Linked DNA regions of Mus musculus. The protein of the gene in region 1 interacts with the protein of each later gene in a pairwise test. Links are inferred from orthologs where the notes say so. Each region holds a gene or a part of one and is shown on either strand. Other genes may lie near its edges.

What was found.
Region 2: the proteins of Araf (region 1) and Timm44 interact in binary tests that used the Homo sapiens proteins (3 or more experiments, as listed by UniProt). The link is inferred for Mus musculus from reciprocal best matches to the Homo sapiens genes ARAF and TIMM44.

What each region holds. Positions count from the first base shown.
Region 1 is NC_000086.7:20,844,404-20,852,838, reverse strand, and holds the start of Araf (serine/threonine-protein kinase A-Raf), read right to left. Parts: upstream 4,297-8,435; 5' UTR 4,220-4,296; exon of another isoform or gene 2,913-4,219; coding exon of another isoform or gene 2,853-2,912; coding exon 2,757-2,852; intron 2,595-2,756; coding exon 2,491-2,594; intron 1,374-2,490; coding exon 1,271-1,373; intron 1,182-1,270; coding exon 1,027-1,181; intron 910-1,026; coding exon 811-909; coding exon of another isoform or gene 807-810; exon of another isoform or gene 1-806. UniProt on the Homo sapiens protein: Involved in the transduction of mitogenic signals from the cell membrane to the nucleus. May also regulate the TOR signaling cascade. Phosphorylates PFKFB2.
Region 2 is NC_000074.6:4,257,406-4,264,878, reverse strand, and holds the end of Timm44 (mitochondrial import inner membrane translocase subunit TIM44), read left to right. Parts: intron 1-2,881; coding exon 2,882-2,971; intron 2,972-4,256; coding exon 4,257-4,367; intron 4,368-4,623; coding exon 4,624-4,743; 3' UTR 4,744-5,148; downstream 5,149-7,473. Other genes in the region: Ctxn1 (cortexin-1), read left to right, coding at 6,250-6,498. UniProt on the Homo sapiens protein: Essential component of the PAM complex, a complex required for the translocation of transit peptide-containing proteins from the inner membrane into the mitochondrial matrix in an ATP-dependent manner.

The DNA.
Region 1 (8,435 bases):
TATTTATTTTATAATAATGAGCATTACCTATATTAAAATGGCAACGTTTTCAATACACATATTATATTATGTAATACACATTACACACATCATATAACGATTATACATATATCACGTTACAAAACACCTTTTTTACTGTTTTAAGACAGTCTCATGTAGCCCAGGCTGGCCTTGAACTTGCTACTTAGTGGAGGGTAGCCTTGAACTATTGATCGTCTTGCCTCCACCTCCCATGAATTATACCTTACAGAAAAACATTCTTCTGTTACTTTCACCATCCTGAGATTAAATTCACAGGTAAATCAACACACATACACTCATAACTACAAATAATAATACATTAACCTTACTTTTTATATATTATGCAAAACTATATGCTATCATATCCAACATAAGTGAAATAAAAGTACTTTCTGATACAGTAACATTTATTTCAAAGAGAAAAGACTGGGGTGTGGTTATACTGGAAGAAATGAACAAACTAGATGATTTTATATATACACTTGTAATGAATAACACTTGTTATTTACTCTGTATCAGATCTTGCTTTAAGCATTGCAAATATCTCAACCCTTAATCCTCTTCAGAACCCACTAGGGAAAATCTCATCCCCTCTTCCCAGATGAAAAAAATGAAACCTGGAGTGACTGGGTGCCTTACCAATGATCCCACAATCCCATGCCCATATTCAACACTTGTAGGTACTCAATAGTATTTATCACGTAAACAAATAAACGAAAGTATAATCTCTCAGGGTCCTCCAATCCTTCTTTCACTGGCCCCCTGGCCTTTCATCTACGACATCCCTACCTGGGACCCTGGGGGGTTAGCAGCTCATTCACAGAGAGATTTGAGGGAGCCTCCTGCTGCCTGGAGCCTCCAGACAGATCCTGGATGCTGTGGTAGAACCTTGAGGGCATAAAGGTGTAAAACAAGAAGGCTGTGAGTATAGCTTGGCTGACTGTAAGCCCTCGTGCTGGGGCTTCCGTCCTCCCCACCCCTCAAGCCACCCCAGGCTGGGCTCACTGTCGGCGGTTGGTACTCATGTCAACGCAGACGGTGGGGACCTTGGAGGAACAATGCTGGTGGAACTTGTAGCCACAGGTCTGGCAGCGGAATCCATGGAACAGAAACTTAAGGCAGAAGTCACAGAAGGCCAGGCTGAAGAATGTCTTCCGTACCTGCAGCCACAAAGCAGGGAAGTGCAGGCCCGACTGAAGGCCCTCTCTGTCCACACTGTGGCCTCCCCCACCATCCCCATTAGACTTACAAAATTGTGCATGGTCAGTGGCACATCTTCTAGGACCTCCACAATGAGCTCCTCACCATCCAGAGGCGCAATGGCTGTGTCCCAGGCAGTGACTGTCTTTCTTCTGCAAGAAGTATGGGAGAGAATGAGAGCGATGATACACTGGGACCACAGTAGACAGGGAAGTTCCCAAAGTTCCTCTCAGTCCCATCCACGAACCACTCTCCCACATGTTTAATTCTCACTACGTTAGTCACTTTTGGACAGGAGAGATGATGGCTCAGCAGTTAAGAATACTTGCTTTTCTTTCAGAGGACCTGGGTTCAGTTCCCAGCACTCACACCGTGGCTCATAACCATCCTTAACTCCGGTGGGATCTTCAACCTTCTTCTGGCCTCCATAGGCGTGAGGAACACACACAGTGCACACGCATGCAGTCAAAACACTCATACACATAAAAAGGGTAACATTTCAAATAAAAAATAAAGTTAGTCACTATTTTTACTCCCACTTTACACATGAGGAAACAGGCTCAAGCAATTAGGTGAATTGCCCAAGCGCTAGGCTAACAGGTATACCCACCACTCCCAGATTTAATCCATGATCTTAAGCATGTGGTGAGAGGCAAATGAAACTACATCTCAGGCGTAGTAAGCCAGCACCTGAGACACTGAAACAGGTAAAATGAAAACAGGAACTCCATCCAAAACATTAAGGCACCAAGGAACACAAGAATAGAAAGGTCAGGCAGGCGTGGTGGCGCACACCTTTAATCCCAGCACTCGGGAGGCAGAGGCAAGTGGATTTCTGAGTTCGAGGCCAGCCTGGTCTACAAAGTGAGTTCCAGGACAGCCAGGGCTATACAGAGAAACCCTGTCTCAAAAAAAAAAAAAAAAAAAAACAAACAAAACAAACAAACAAACAAACAAAGAATAGAAAGGTCAATGAAGACCACCAACTCCATGGTGTATGGGGACCATGAGAAAAGAAAGAGCTTGTGACTTCAAGAAATGGTGAAAGAACAAAACAGATGAACTCTGGAAGGTGACAGACTGAGGACTTGAGGGCTGAGTGCATAGTGAATTGCAGACCTTCCAATGGTCAATGAAGGGAAACGAAAGATGTCACCTGGGTTACCTCAGATAGTGGAAGACTCCAAGACAAATGAGGAGGAATAAGATGGCACTGAAGAAAGGAGGTGTGTAGGGACCCAGTGAATGGCATGGGGTTTCCATACTTACCCTTTGATGAGCCTGTAGACCACACAGCAGTCCTGGTTGAGACCCCGCACCTTCAGGGCCTTGTCCAAAGAGTCATAGACACTCATGCCTTCCCGGACAGTCACCTGTGTGTGTGTGTGTGTAGAGATTGGGGTCTTCAGTATCCAATAGGTACCCTAGCCAATTATTCCTTCCCTCTGCAGCATTCATTCCCTAACCCTCGCCACCCTTCTGATCCCACACTACGACTATCTGGAACCCCTGCCAGTACTGCCTGAGTGACTCACCACTGTGCGTTGCTTGTTAGGCAGGTACACTTTGACAGTGCCAACTGCCCGAGATGGCTCAGCCCCACTAACAGGAGGGCCTCGTGGTGGTTCCATGTTGCCTAAGATTGTTTTCAAGATGGGCTGAGGTAGGACTGGGCAGCTGCCATAGGCCTCCTAGCAGAGGACAGAGGAGAAATTCAGAGGTCTAGTAATGACAGCCTGAAAGCAGAGTGGCAGAGGACATATAAAATTCCATCTCCAAGTTCCCACTGTTCCCTAAATCCCACTTTTTATGAACCAGCCCAATGATACTAACCCTTCTCTGCTGAGAATCTCCTATTGCTTATGTCATAGTTGAGTACCAAGATCTGAGACTCACTGCAGTGAGGAGACAGTGCACACGGTTCTGGACAGTGCAGAACACATGACTCTCTAGAGATTAATGGGGAAGCCATTATGTACTGCACTGAAAAATCACAGGTCTCAGGCACACAATGGAAATAAACAGGCTGTCTTAGCTTCAGAGAATGGGTAATCAGACACAGACAGGGGACAGGAAAATGGAGGATCATCAGACCTTGTTTTTAGATTGAAGGAAATGAAGACAGTACCAATGACCTTAAAAGGCACTGTGGGTATTCCAGAGCATAAGCTATAAGGCTAATGGTAGAATCAAAGGTACTGTCAGGTAGCTAATAGAGGTCACCAGACCCTCTAGAGTCCACAGAGGTTCGCCATACCCTAGACTAAAGAGAGATGTAATAAGAGTCACTACAGACTGTGAAAAACAGCTGGATAACAGACCACATTACACACTAAATCAAATGCAGTGGCAATGATGGCTCATCAGAAAACACTATCAAGAGGAAAGGCAAAGGAAGACAATGGTATCCAGATGAAGAAGATGGAGGTGAGGTTGGGGGAAGGGTTTCCAAAAACTGTACCTGATAACTACTGGGGGTCACAAACAGATTACTGGTGTAAACGCACTGTGAAATCATGGAAAGGGATTAGGGTGAACTAGGGATAATGAGGTAATCGTCAGACATCTTCCTAGGTGGCGTAGAATATGAAGGGCAATAAGGAACCATGGGAGAGAGCTGCATCTCCTGGACGTCGTGAGGAAACGTCATTAGACATTTTAAGGGGTTTAAGAATTCACCTTGGAATTTCGCACCCAAGCCCCAGACCCCAGACCCAATTTGGCTCCGTCCCGCCCTCCCCAAGGGCTTCAAGCTCTGTGCAGGTGCACTGCCACGCGCAGCAAGCGAAACCACCACTGCAGCCTGCAGGCCGACTCCTCCATCCACTCCCACGGTCGATGACGACGGTCTCGCCCTGGTCAAACCACTCCTTTGGTTCCGGGCGGGAGAACGCTGAGATTCAGACGGAAGCATCTTGGAGCTGAGCTTTCGGTCTGGACTTCATACCCGGGTCCCGCAGCCGCTCCAAAACCCGAACCCTACCGGGCCTGCCCTCACCTGTCACACCGCTACCACCACCACCGCCTCCATCTTGGGCTTGTCTTCTTGTTTCCTCTCAGTCCACCGCCACCGTCCCTAGGCTTTTTGCTATTGGCTCGCTGTGACTCGTCTCTCCATTCTTATTGGAGGATGATCATGCCCATCAAGACAGGGCCAGCGGAATGTGGGTCGTGTTCCGGATTAGGAGGGGTGGGCTCAAATGGCTGTCTCTAGGGCAAATTCGCCTGTCCTGATTGGCGCGCAGGCGCAGTCAGGGCGACTACTGCGTTTTAAGGACTTTAACCCTAACCGTGCTATAGAATAAAGAAGCTTGTCTTTTTTTGGTGTGCGTGTCAGAGGCACGACTCCATTTCAGTTTTGTATTTTCTGGCCATTTAAGACTGATCTGAGCAAGAGAAACCCTTAAATGCAATTTGGCCAGTAGTGTAAAGCACATTTTAAAGGACTATTCATATATCTTAATTTGATGGTCTTTAAAACAGGGTGGACTCAGACTAAATGATGTTCAGTATTTACCAGCTCTAAGAAACTGTAGTCATAACTTTTGCTAATTAGCGGATCCGTGCTGGAGGTCTGGCTCTAGGGAGGGAGGAAAGGGGTTGAGGAATTTGAAAGACAGACCACAGCTGGCTAGGTGAAGAAGGGAGTGTTGTTCTGGAATGCAATCCTGTGGCAGCCATTTGTGGACATATTTTAGGATGAATATAATTCTTAAACTGAATTTACCCAGGCATCAGAATAAGAAAAGGCACAGACACACACATGTGTATGTACCTACATTCTTTTTTTGGAGCATTTCCTTCAGAAAACTTTTATTTTCTCTGTCTATTGGAGATAGATAGATAGATAGATAGATAGATAAATCTTCCTTAAAAGCTTAGTTCTAGGGTTGTAGCTCAACAAGAGAATGAACCACAAAGCCCTGAGTTAAATTCTCAGCACCCTGCCCCTCCCCAAAGAGTATGGCAGTCTCTTGCCAGTTTTACAACCACAGAAAATTTTCCTAAAGGCCTTGAAACCATCTCTTTCAAATGTAACAACACCCCTATCTCCCTGTCTGATGCAAACTTCCTCTATGTGTCCAGCTCAAAGTTGTTCCTTCTTTCTTCTAAGATATGAGTCTTGGTTTTCCTTTGGATATAGTTAAGTAACAGATGGCCACCCTGACTACTAGATGAATTTAAGAGAAACTCTGTGTCCCAAATGGTACCGTCACGTTTTCTTACTTCAAAACGAGCTAGTAGTTATTTTGAGAACCTGTATGTAATGGGCTGAGTCTGTTGGTTCTATAAAAAGATAAGATTTCTTTCTTTAAGTTCTTTGCAAAAACAGGACAAGAAATAATTTGAAAATCAATCAATCATGAATCCAACAACATCATTTCTAAGTGTTTACTCTAGAGAAATGAAAACATATACCCACATGGTATGCTGGTAAATGTTAACAACCAGCTTTTCAAAAAGAAAACAATTGTAATTTGTAACATTTGTCAGTTGTGGTATAAAGATTCCTACAGTGGATGTTTCAAACTACCAATATGACATCACTGAACCAGAATTAAGAAAGGCCCTAAATTGGCTATGGTGAGCCAACCACAGCCCATTACATATCCACACTAAAACATGTATGCACATATTCAGATTAGCTTTATTCATATTAGGAAATGTAAAAACTAAAAACAAAAAAATACTAGAAACAGCCTTGGTATCCAACAAAAGAATAGACCATGAACTATGACAACGTCACATAATAGAACACTCAGCAATCACAACTATAGAACAGCATAGATGAATTTCCTAGACCTAAGTTTAAAAGAAGGAAAAAAAACCAGGAACTAAAGAGTAATACTATAGTTTTCATTACTATAGTTTTCAATGGAATTCTAAGCCAGGAAAAACCAGTTTATAGTGAAAGAAATCAAACTAGCTACCATTTGGGGAAAGAGTAAAGAGAATATTACTATGGTGTGGATGTGGTCTGTTCTTGTCAAAATTCATGGTGGAATTTTGGTAGCCAGTGCATGGATACTGATAGGTGGGGCCTTTCAGGGGATTGACATCATCCGTGCAAGACTGGATTAGTTCTTGCAGCAATGGATTAGTTCCTGCTCTTCAAACTGACTTATTGGGTTCTAGGGAGACGGCTCAAGTTGGTAAAGTAAGTGTTTCAGGTACTTTCCACATAAAAATAAACCAAGTGTGGTGATCTGTGTTTGTAATGCCAGTGAGAGGAGGAAACAGCAAGATCCCTGAGACTGGCTGCCAGCAAGTCTAGCTGAGTCAATGAGCTCCAGGCCAATGAAGAGGCTCTGTCTCAACAATCAAGGTGAATGAAATCTAGCAAGATGGTTCAGTGGTTAAAGGTGCTTGTGTTGCAGACCAGCTAACCTGAGTTTGATCCCTGGAACCCACAAAAAGGCAAAAGGAAAAATTGACTCCACAAAATTGTCTTTTAACCTCCACATATATACTATAGCACTTGTGTACCCCATTGTGCATGTACAAAATAATAATATTAGTAATAATAGTAAACAAAGTTGATGGCACCTGAAGGATACTGGAAATTGATCCCTTGGTTTTATATACATGTACATATATGTACAGGTGTCATGAATTCACATATATAAAAGATAACGGTGGATGCTGATATATGTACTTGTGTGGATATATGCACATGTGCATGCAAGTTCATGTGCATGTATGTGTGGAAGCCAAAGATTGGCCTAGGTTGCCTCTTTTTTTTTGATATGCCCCTGTTTCTTATATATTTTCTTAATTTTATTTTTAATTATTTTTTTACACTCCATATTCCATTACCCGCCCCACTCCATCCACCCTCCGACTGTTCCACACCCCACACCTCCTCCCCACCCCACCCTTGTCTCCACTTGGATGCCCCAACCCCACCATCACCACCACCTTACCTCTAAACTCCCTGGGGCAGTCTCTCGAGGGTTAGGTGTATCATCTCTGAATGAACACAGACCTGGAAGTCCTCTACTGTATGTGTGTTGAGGGCCTCATATCAGCTGGTGTATGCCTCTTTCAACTCATCTCCACTGTATTTTTTGGAGAGTGTCTGTCATTAAATCTGAAAGTCACCCTTTTTGCTAGACTGGCTGGCCAGTGACCTCCAGGGATCTGCCTATTTATACCTTCTCAGCACTGGGGTCACAGACATACGCTGCTGCTGGCTTTTATCTTCAGGTCCTCAGGACTGCATGGCAAGTGTTTTACTGAGCCATTCCCCCAGGCCCCAGGATGAGTTATATAGTATCTGACCCACTTTGTCCTCACTTAAAAAAAAAACATTTTTTTTTATTTCTTCCCACTCTGTGTGTGTGTGTGTGTGCCTGCAGAGTTCAGAAGGGGACATTGAATCCCCTGGAATTGGAACTAAAGGTAAGCTACCATATGTAGGCACTGAGAACCAAACTGGAAGAACAGCAAGTGCTCTTGACTGCTGAGCTATATCGCTCCTGCCCCCACTGCTCTCTTCTCTGCACTCAATCTTTCTTTTACAAAAAACAAAAAAACTATGGATTATTTTTTTAGAATTTTCTTTTAAATTAAATTTCTGGACCCTCAAATCCCCATCTCCCAGTGCAGGCCCATTACATTATAATGTCTTGATTACCTGCTGCTGGAACTCAGTGAGAGGGTCCAAAATACCTTGGGAGATCAAGAAAGGGATGTGGGGTTGTTTGTTTGTTTGTTTGTTTGTTTGTTTGTTTGTTTTTGTTTTTTGAGACAGGATTTCTCTGTATAGCCCTGGCTGTCCTGGAACACACTCTGTAGACCAGACCGGCCTCAAACTCAGAAATCCACCTGCCTCTGCCTCCCACGTGCTGGGTTTAAAGGCGTGCGCCACCACGCCTGGTTGACCTTTCTATTCTTGTGCTCCTTGGTGCCTTTCTTACTTTTAACTCGTGAGCATCAATCCAGTCCCAGAACTACTACTTCCTTCTCCTCCTCCATCCTTCTTTTTTTGAAACAAGGTTTCTCTTTGTAGTTTTATAGCAGGGCCCCAGATCTTAGTAGGCCCCTAGACCTTTCGACTCCCTGATGGAAGTACCATTCAGGGTAAAACTTAGCACTTAGACAGTTCCATCTGCCAAAACTAAAACAAACACCCAATCCATCAAAGTCAATATAGTCTCTAAATGTACTAACCTTGCTTTTTGGCTTCTGTAGTTCTACTTCTGGCTAACTGT
Region 2 (7,473 bases), on another chromosome or scaffold:
CATGCATGAAGGCTAGGTTCTACTTAATGCATGCATGAAGGCTAGGTTCTACTTAATGCATGCATGAAGGCTAGGTTCTACTTAATGCATGCATGAAGGCTAGGTTCTACTTAATGCATGCATGAAGGCTAGGTTCTACTGTTGAACTCTATCTTCAGCCCTGTAAAATAATGGGGGTGGGTGGATGGCATGTGGCCTATGTATCTTTGTATGGCATATGAGTATATGCATATTTACATGTGGGTAAAGGCACGTGTGTCTGGAGGCTTGAAGAAAGGCTGATGACAGTTCCTCTCCACCTGAAATGGAGGCAGGGAGTTTTGCTGAACCTATGGTTTGCAGTTTCCTAGCTAGCCAGCTTGCCTGTGAGCTCCCTGCTTCTACCTCCTGGGCACTGGATTTACAGACGACGCTTCCACACCCCTCGTCTTTTGTGTGAGTTCTTGAGATCCAGACTCCACATGCTTGCACATAAAGTGTTTACCCACTGAACCACCTCCCCGGCACCTAGAAACTAATTTTGGTTAAAGAGAATCACAGAAATGATTCTTTGGTTTTCGAGACAGGGTTTCTCTGTGTAGTTCTGGCTGTCCTGGAACTCACTCTGTAGACCAGGTTGGCCTCGATCTCAGAAATCCGCCTGCCTCTGACTCCTAAGTGCTGAGATTAAAGGCGTGCGCCACCACTGCCCGGCAGAAATAATTCTTGACACAAATATATAATTTCCAGGGTAGTTGTCTTTTTTTTCTGCACAGTTTAAGTGGCAATGATCAGGACCCCATGAAAGATGGCCTGGGATGTGCAGGTTGGGGGCGTCCCATGCAGGAAGGTGATGGAAGAGCTCACTGGAATGTATAAGGTTTCCCCTGGCACTGCTGAGCCCCATACATGGTGGTGGCAGGTGCCTCATGGTGATTATGAGTTAACTGTGAATACTGAAGTATTTACAATGACCCAGCAGATTCCCCCCTCTAATAAGATAATGTAACAAAGATTAAAACAGAAATGTGGGTAGACTTCCCGGCTGAGGAAGGACATTGTGTCCTAAGGAGGCCCTAGCTACTTCCCAGAGTCATGGCTCATCTTAAGATCCCAGGGTCACGGTCAGAGCAGGCTGTGGGGAAGCCAGTATCTTCACTGGGAGCACATGCTGTCTGCTCTTTCCTGGCAACCTCCCTGTCTCCATGGAACTCCTGCTCTCGTCTGGTCTGCTCAGGCCACCTTACCTCACCCTACCGGCTTCTGGCTGCATCTCCAAGCAGGGTTGTGAGGTTTTTGTTTAGTTTTGTTTTTCTTCCAGCTTCTTTGTGTGAAGCAATCTGGAGCCTTTTTTTGGCTCATCCTATTCTGTCCCGAGCTCACAAACAACTTGGGAAAAGCAGAGGAGAAGATCTGTCAGGTTCTCTTTTTAACTACTCCCCTGCACTGGTGACTAAGCCAGTGGGCATTAGGAGAGTTCTCTTCCTCTTCCTCCTTCCTCCCTTCCTCCCTCTCTCCTCCTTTGGAACCACGAAGTCCTGGCTGATCTTCTCTATCCAAGAATAGCCTGGTACCCCCAGAACACAGCTGAAATTGTAGTTGGCTTCCAGTAAGGTGTTTGTAAAATGCTGCCTTGAGGAAGCGCTGGGTGTGGGGCATGGCACTTCTACCTCATGTGCCAGAAGCCACGAGTTTGCTCACTAGCACTGACACACCAGCTGTGGAGACCATGTCTACCATCCTGGCACTGGGGAAGGAGAAGCAGCAGAGACATCGTTTTTTCATGGTTTTGTTTTTTTTAAGATTTATTTATTATGTATATAGTGTTCTGCTTCCATGTATGCCTGCAGGCCAGAAGAAGGCACCAGATCTTATTATAGATGGTTATGGGCCACCATGTGGTTGCTGGGAATTGAACTCCGGATCTCCAGCCCCAGGCTCATTTTTTGCTTCATGGCTACCTTGAGCTACATGAAACCCTTATCTCTATAGCAATAAACAGCAGAAACCCACCAGGTAGGGTTGGCACTCCTTTGTGTGTGTATAATGTGTTTGTGCCACAATGCTGTGTGGAAGCCATAGGACAGTCTCCAGTGCTGATCCTCATCTCTTATCTTGTGTGGGACAGGGTATCTTGTTCACCACTGTGTGTGCACCAGGCTGGCTGGCCAAGGGTTTCCAGAGCTCCTGTCCCCACTTCCCATCTCACTTCAGGAATGCTGAGATTACATACGCCCAACTTTACATGGATTATGGAGATTTGAACTCAGGTCATCATAATTGTGCAAAAAGTGCTTAATCACTGAGCCATCTCCCCAACCTAGCACTACTGCTTATTCGAGCCACTCCCACTTCTGTTCAGCATCTGTTATTTCTGAAGTCCAGAAATGCCTTCAGGCCATTTCCTGTCTTAGTTGACTCCAAGCTCAAACTGCTCTCCTTGTGGCTACATGTCCCCCAGGCTCTTGGGGCAGTGGAGGGTGGCACGTTGGATGTTCTGTGAGAGAGGCTACTTAAGCTGTGAGTTCTAGGGCAGCCCAAAGGGTTGGGACAAATCCTAGAAACGGCATTTGAATCCAGGCCAAGATTCCAGGGGAGGTGAATCTGGGAACAGTAGAGATCAGCCAAGAGTCCCCCAGCTTACCCTGGGAGTGTACTTCGGATGATGCTGTGAATTACCCACTACACTGATTAATACTGATCCTACTTGGACGTATGGCTCTTTCCATAATGAGAAGTGTGCAGGTCTGGCCAGCCAAGAGTGGCATCCTTCTGGGCTTGGACTTGTGCTCTTGGCTTCTGCCAGTTTGGGTGTTAGGGCATATAAAAGTGGCTATACCTCTGGGTGTAACCCAACCCCTATCAGTGGCTGACTACATGGGCATATTGCCTCTCATTGCAGACCTACAGCCAGCTGGCCCACCCTATCCAGCAGGCCAAGGCTCTGGGCTTCCAGTTCCACTCCCGAATTCTGGACATCAGCAATGTGGACGTAAGTCATCCCCAAGGAAGCAGACAGTCAGAGTGAAGCAGCAGCTGACATAGCCTATAAATGAAGCCAGACCTGCCGATCCCCCATACTCACGGCAGGGCTGCTTGGGCTACAGAGTGAGTTCCACACTCATCTAGGTAACTTTGTGACACAGTTTCAAAAGAGAAAGTAAGACAAGGCCTGGGGATATGCCAGTGCTAAGAGTCCTGGCTTAGCATTTGTAAGGCACCGGCTTGAATTCCTAGGATGGTAACAAACAAAACTGTTGACCTGCCTCTCAAAGCTTTCCGTATTTCTGCGCTTGAAGTGTAAGTGATTTCCAGCCAAACAATGTGGCTTGAGTGATTGGTTGATGTTTGGTTGGTTTTGAGGAGAGGGCTGGTCTGTGTTTGTGTGCACATATTAGCACACATGCTATTCATACAAAAAATGAAAAATAAAAACAAAATTCTATGCGGTGAGCCAGGCATCGAGAGACACACCTAGAATTCAAGCACTCTGGAAGTTGAGGCAGGAAGATCCCATGAGTTTAAGGGTAATCTGAGCTAAATGACTTTATTGTAAAATACTCTTTGTTAGTGGGTGTGGTAGCTCATGCCTATAATCCCAGCATTTGAAGGCTGAGGCAGTGGGATTCAGGCCATTCATAACTATATTGTGAGTAAGGCCACCCTATGTTACCTGAGACCCTGTATCAAAATAAAAATAGGCTTTGCATTACCTATTAATTACAAAATGAAGCTAATTTTGCTTACCTGTACTTGGCTAGGATGCTTATTTCATTTGGTGTTTTAATGAGTTTTCCATGATACTTTCAAGCGTGTTTATCAGGACGCAGCTCATCCTGCATCCAGGATCCTGTGTTATTGGGCAGGTGCTGAGCCCTTGAGCTCCACTGGCAGTGGTGCCCCTGCCTCTGCAGCGTGGGCCCCTAACAGGCAGTTCAGCTTCCGTCACCAGAACTTCTTACCTCGTAGGAGCTGCAGGCAAAGTGGAGCCAACTTCCTGCCTTCCTTCACCCCTTGGTTTTATGAACCTGCATGGACCCAGTCTGGGAACAGAGAAATCCCACAGTTGAAGGCCTGGAGTTGCCCATGAGAAGGAGCTCATTGGAAAAAAATCACTCCTCTAAAGTCGGGGAGGGTGGTACCATACCTTTAGCACGGCAAAGTGTCAGACTATAGGACAAGTACAGAGTGCAACTTTGGGGCGTTTCATCTCCAGGGTTGTGAGCATTGGGTGGAGGTGTACAGTTCTGAGGCCTGTACTTGTGTGTTTCCTGCAGCTGGCCATGGGCAAGATGATGGAGCAGGGCCCAGTGCTGATCGTTACCTTTCAGGCCCAGGTGGTGATGGTGATCAAGAACTCCAAAGGCGAGGTGTATGATGGTGACCCGGTGAGTGGTAATCAAGGGAATGGAGGTTTGGGAGTGCTTCTCACATACAGGGCCCTGTGCATTGCACGCCTCCCCAGCACAGAGCCAGGCAGAAGCACCACAAGTACGAATTGAGAGCTTTTTGAAGTCAGAGCACCGTTTCATCTGACCACTGACCAGAGCCAGCAGCCCGGGAACCCCTTCCCTGTCCCCCTCAGTAGCCCTTCTTTCTGTACACCCACCAAGCCTGACCCCTCACCCTGCCCGGTCTTCACAGGACAAGGTGCAGCGAATGCTGTACGTGTGGGCACTCTGCAGAGACCAGGAGGAGCTCAACCCTTATGCTGCCTGGCGCCTTCTGGACATCTCAGCCTCCAGCACAGAGCAGATCCTCTGAGGGCAGCAATGGAGTCTAGGCAGCTCGAGGCTAGACCATCATGGGACAGACACACAGAGACACTTTGCCACATCTGATACAGCTGTGAACAAGCTTCTGCCCCAAGTTCTTCAGGGCAGCTGTGAAACCAGCTGGACAAGGGAAGAGCTTGGGGTGTCTAGCAGGATGGGGACTGTCTCCCAGTGCGTCCGTCACAGGGGTTGCTGGCAGTGTCAGAAGGCCCCAGCCCAGGACTCCTGTCGGGTGAGGCCTGGCCTGCTGTTCTAAGTAGTCCACTGGCATTGCCTTCCAAGCCACTTTAGGTCCTTTTGTTTTGTTTTGTTTTTGTTTTTAAATCAGTGCTCTTACTTCCTGTACATAAGCCTAAGATCTGGACCTAATAAAACACCAAAGCGCAGAAGAGCAGTTTGAACGGTTTGAAGTGTACCTCTCTGCTGGGAAGGCTGGGACTGAGGGCCTGTCAGAGACCTAGGTCAGTGAAGGATTGTAGCCAGAGAGAGTGCTGCTTTCTCGGGCCAACACCCTGCCCTTTTGTGGGAAGAATAAGCATCCCAGCTGTCTGGGGTCTCAGTTGAATTCGGGGTTCCCTAAGGCTTCGGGGCTTAACTAACAGAGACTGGGGTAAGGGGTTGCCCGGGAAGAATACGGATACAGACACCGAGGTTAGGAGAGGCTTCCGTGGGAGAGGCGTAAATGCCCATGTCCTGGCGAGGTCCTGGGTGCTCTAGGAGCTGGAAGCTGAGGCTGTCTGGGCTGGCACAGCGGTGGGAAGGTTCAGCCTTCCGATAGGCAGGCCGGGGCGGGGTCACAAGCCCAGGCACCGCTCCTAACACAGCCACCACCCCCTCGCAGCCCCGCCCTCGTCGCCATGGGAACAGCCGCGGCGGCTGGGCTGGCGCGCGGCTCTCCTTCCTCCCTCGGTCTCCACCGCTCCAGGGGCGGGTGGGGTGGGCTGAGCCGGGGCTGCCACAGCCTCCGCCGCTACCACTGCCACCCGGGAAGACCAGAGCAAAGCAGCGCACGAGTTCCGAGAAAGAGAGAGAGAGAGGGGCTGCAGGGCGGCCGGTCCCCGTCTAGGACCAAGGGTGAGGGGGGCGCGTTGTAGCCCGGGAGTCGGCTACGGTGGGGGAGGGGGGTCTTGGGCCTTGGAGAACAAAGGGAGCGGGGCGGGGACCAGTTCAAACAGTGCAGCTCTGGTCTCTGTCCCAGCGCGATCGCACCTGTTGTGCGCGGGCTGGGCAGATCTAAGCTGACCTGTCCCGGCTCTCAGCGACCCCACCTGCGCGCACCGCTGGAGTTGAGTCCCCGCGTGGCTGTGGCGGCGGAGCGCACAGGCGGGGCATGGGCGTAGCCCGGAGACGACAACACGGACAGAGATGATGCTGTGGGATACAGCAAAGGGGCTACTCCAGAAGGGGTGGATGGAGGTGCAGGAAGGGCATAGCCTCATCCCCGCGGACCCCGGGGTGGGTACCCCTCTCTCCTCAGAGCGCGGCGATGTGAGCTATGAGTTCGGCGTGGACACTATCACCGGAGCCGCTGCCGCCGTCGACGGGGCCCCCGGTGGGCGCGGGCCTGGACGTCGAGCAACGCACGGTGTTCGCCTTCGTGCTCTGCCTGCTCGTGGTGTTGGTTCTGTTGATGGTGCGCTGTGTGCGCATACTGCTAGACCCCTACAGCCGCATGCCCGCCTCGTCCTGGACCGACCACAAGGAGGCGCTCGAACGCGGGCAGTTCGACTATGCGTTGGTGTGATGGGGAACCAGTCGGGGCAGGTCCTTAGGGTCATCCCCGTGGAGGGGTGCCACCAGCCTGGACTGTGCTCAGGGTTATGCCTAGATGCCCTAGCTCGAAGTTGAGGGCGTTCGGAGAAGTCCAGTCCTTACCTACCTTAGCTACCCATCTTCCTTCCTGGCCAGGCCAGAACCCCACCTGGTGCCTTTATCTACCCTGTCCCCTTCTCTCTACATACTTATCCTCATTGCTGATCCCTCAACACTGAGTCCCTGGTGAGTGAAGGACCCCGCACCAACCTCAGCTTTCCCCAACTACCAGGCATGCTACATTCTTTCCTGGAAATGCGGACACCTCTTATCTCTTATTTCTTTGTTATGGTCATCCTCAATTTCAGTGCACTCCTTGAGTCCTGGCCCTGGCAGGCAGGCTTTCTTCGACTCACATTGGACGCTGCCTACCTATAATGCACGGTACAGTTTGCCTCAGAGACAGACCCAGAAACCCCACCATGGCTGCTGCTTGTGTTGATAATATCTGGCACTTTATGTGCGGGAGTACAAGCAGGCTCATCCCCTTCCCAGACTCGGCCCCAGCACAGGTTAGAGTGCCTTTCCTTTGTCCCACCTCTCCCATGTCCCCCTTGTCCCCATGCCCTTCCCTTGCCTTTCACACCTCCCCGCCTCTGAACCGTGGCAATTATAATAAAAGCTATTATTGAGTGCTTACTGCATGTGAAGCAGATTGCTGAGTTAACCAGTCCTGTTCTTAGCCTGTTTGCTTCTGAGGGTTTGTGACAAACAGCCAACAAGCCAAGCTCCTGTTAGGATCCCCCATTCTACAAGCCAGGGGACGACTGGAAGTCCAAGCCGCTAAAATAACTTGCCCCCAAGCCATTGATCTGGAATCAAAACCCACATCTGCTCTTGCCTTTGACTGCTGCCTAATCCTGCAAACACCCAATTTCATACACAACCCTTCAGTAGCTTTGGAGGT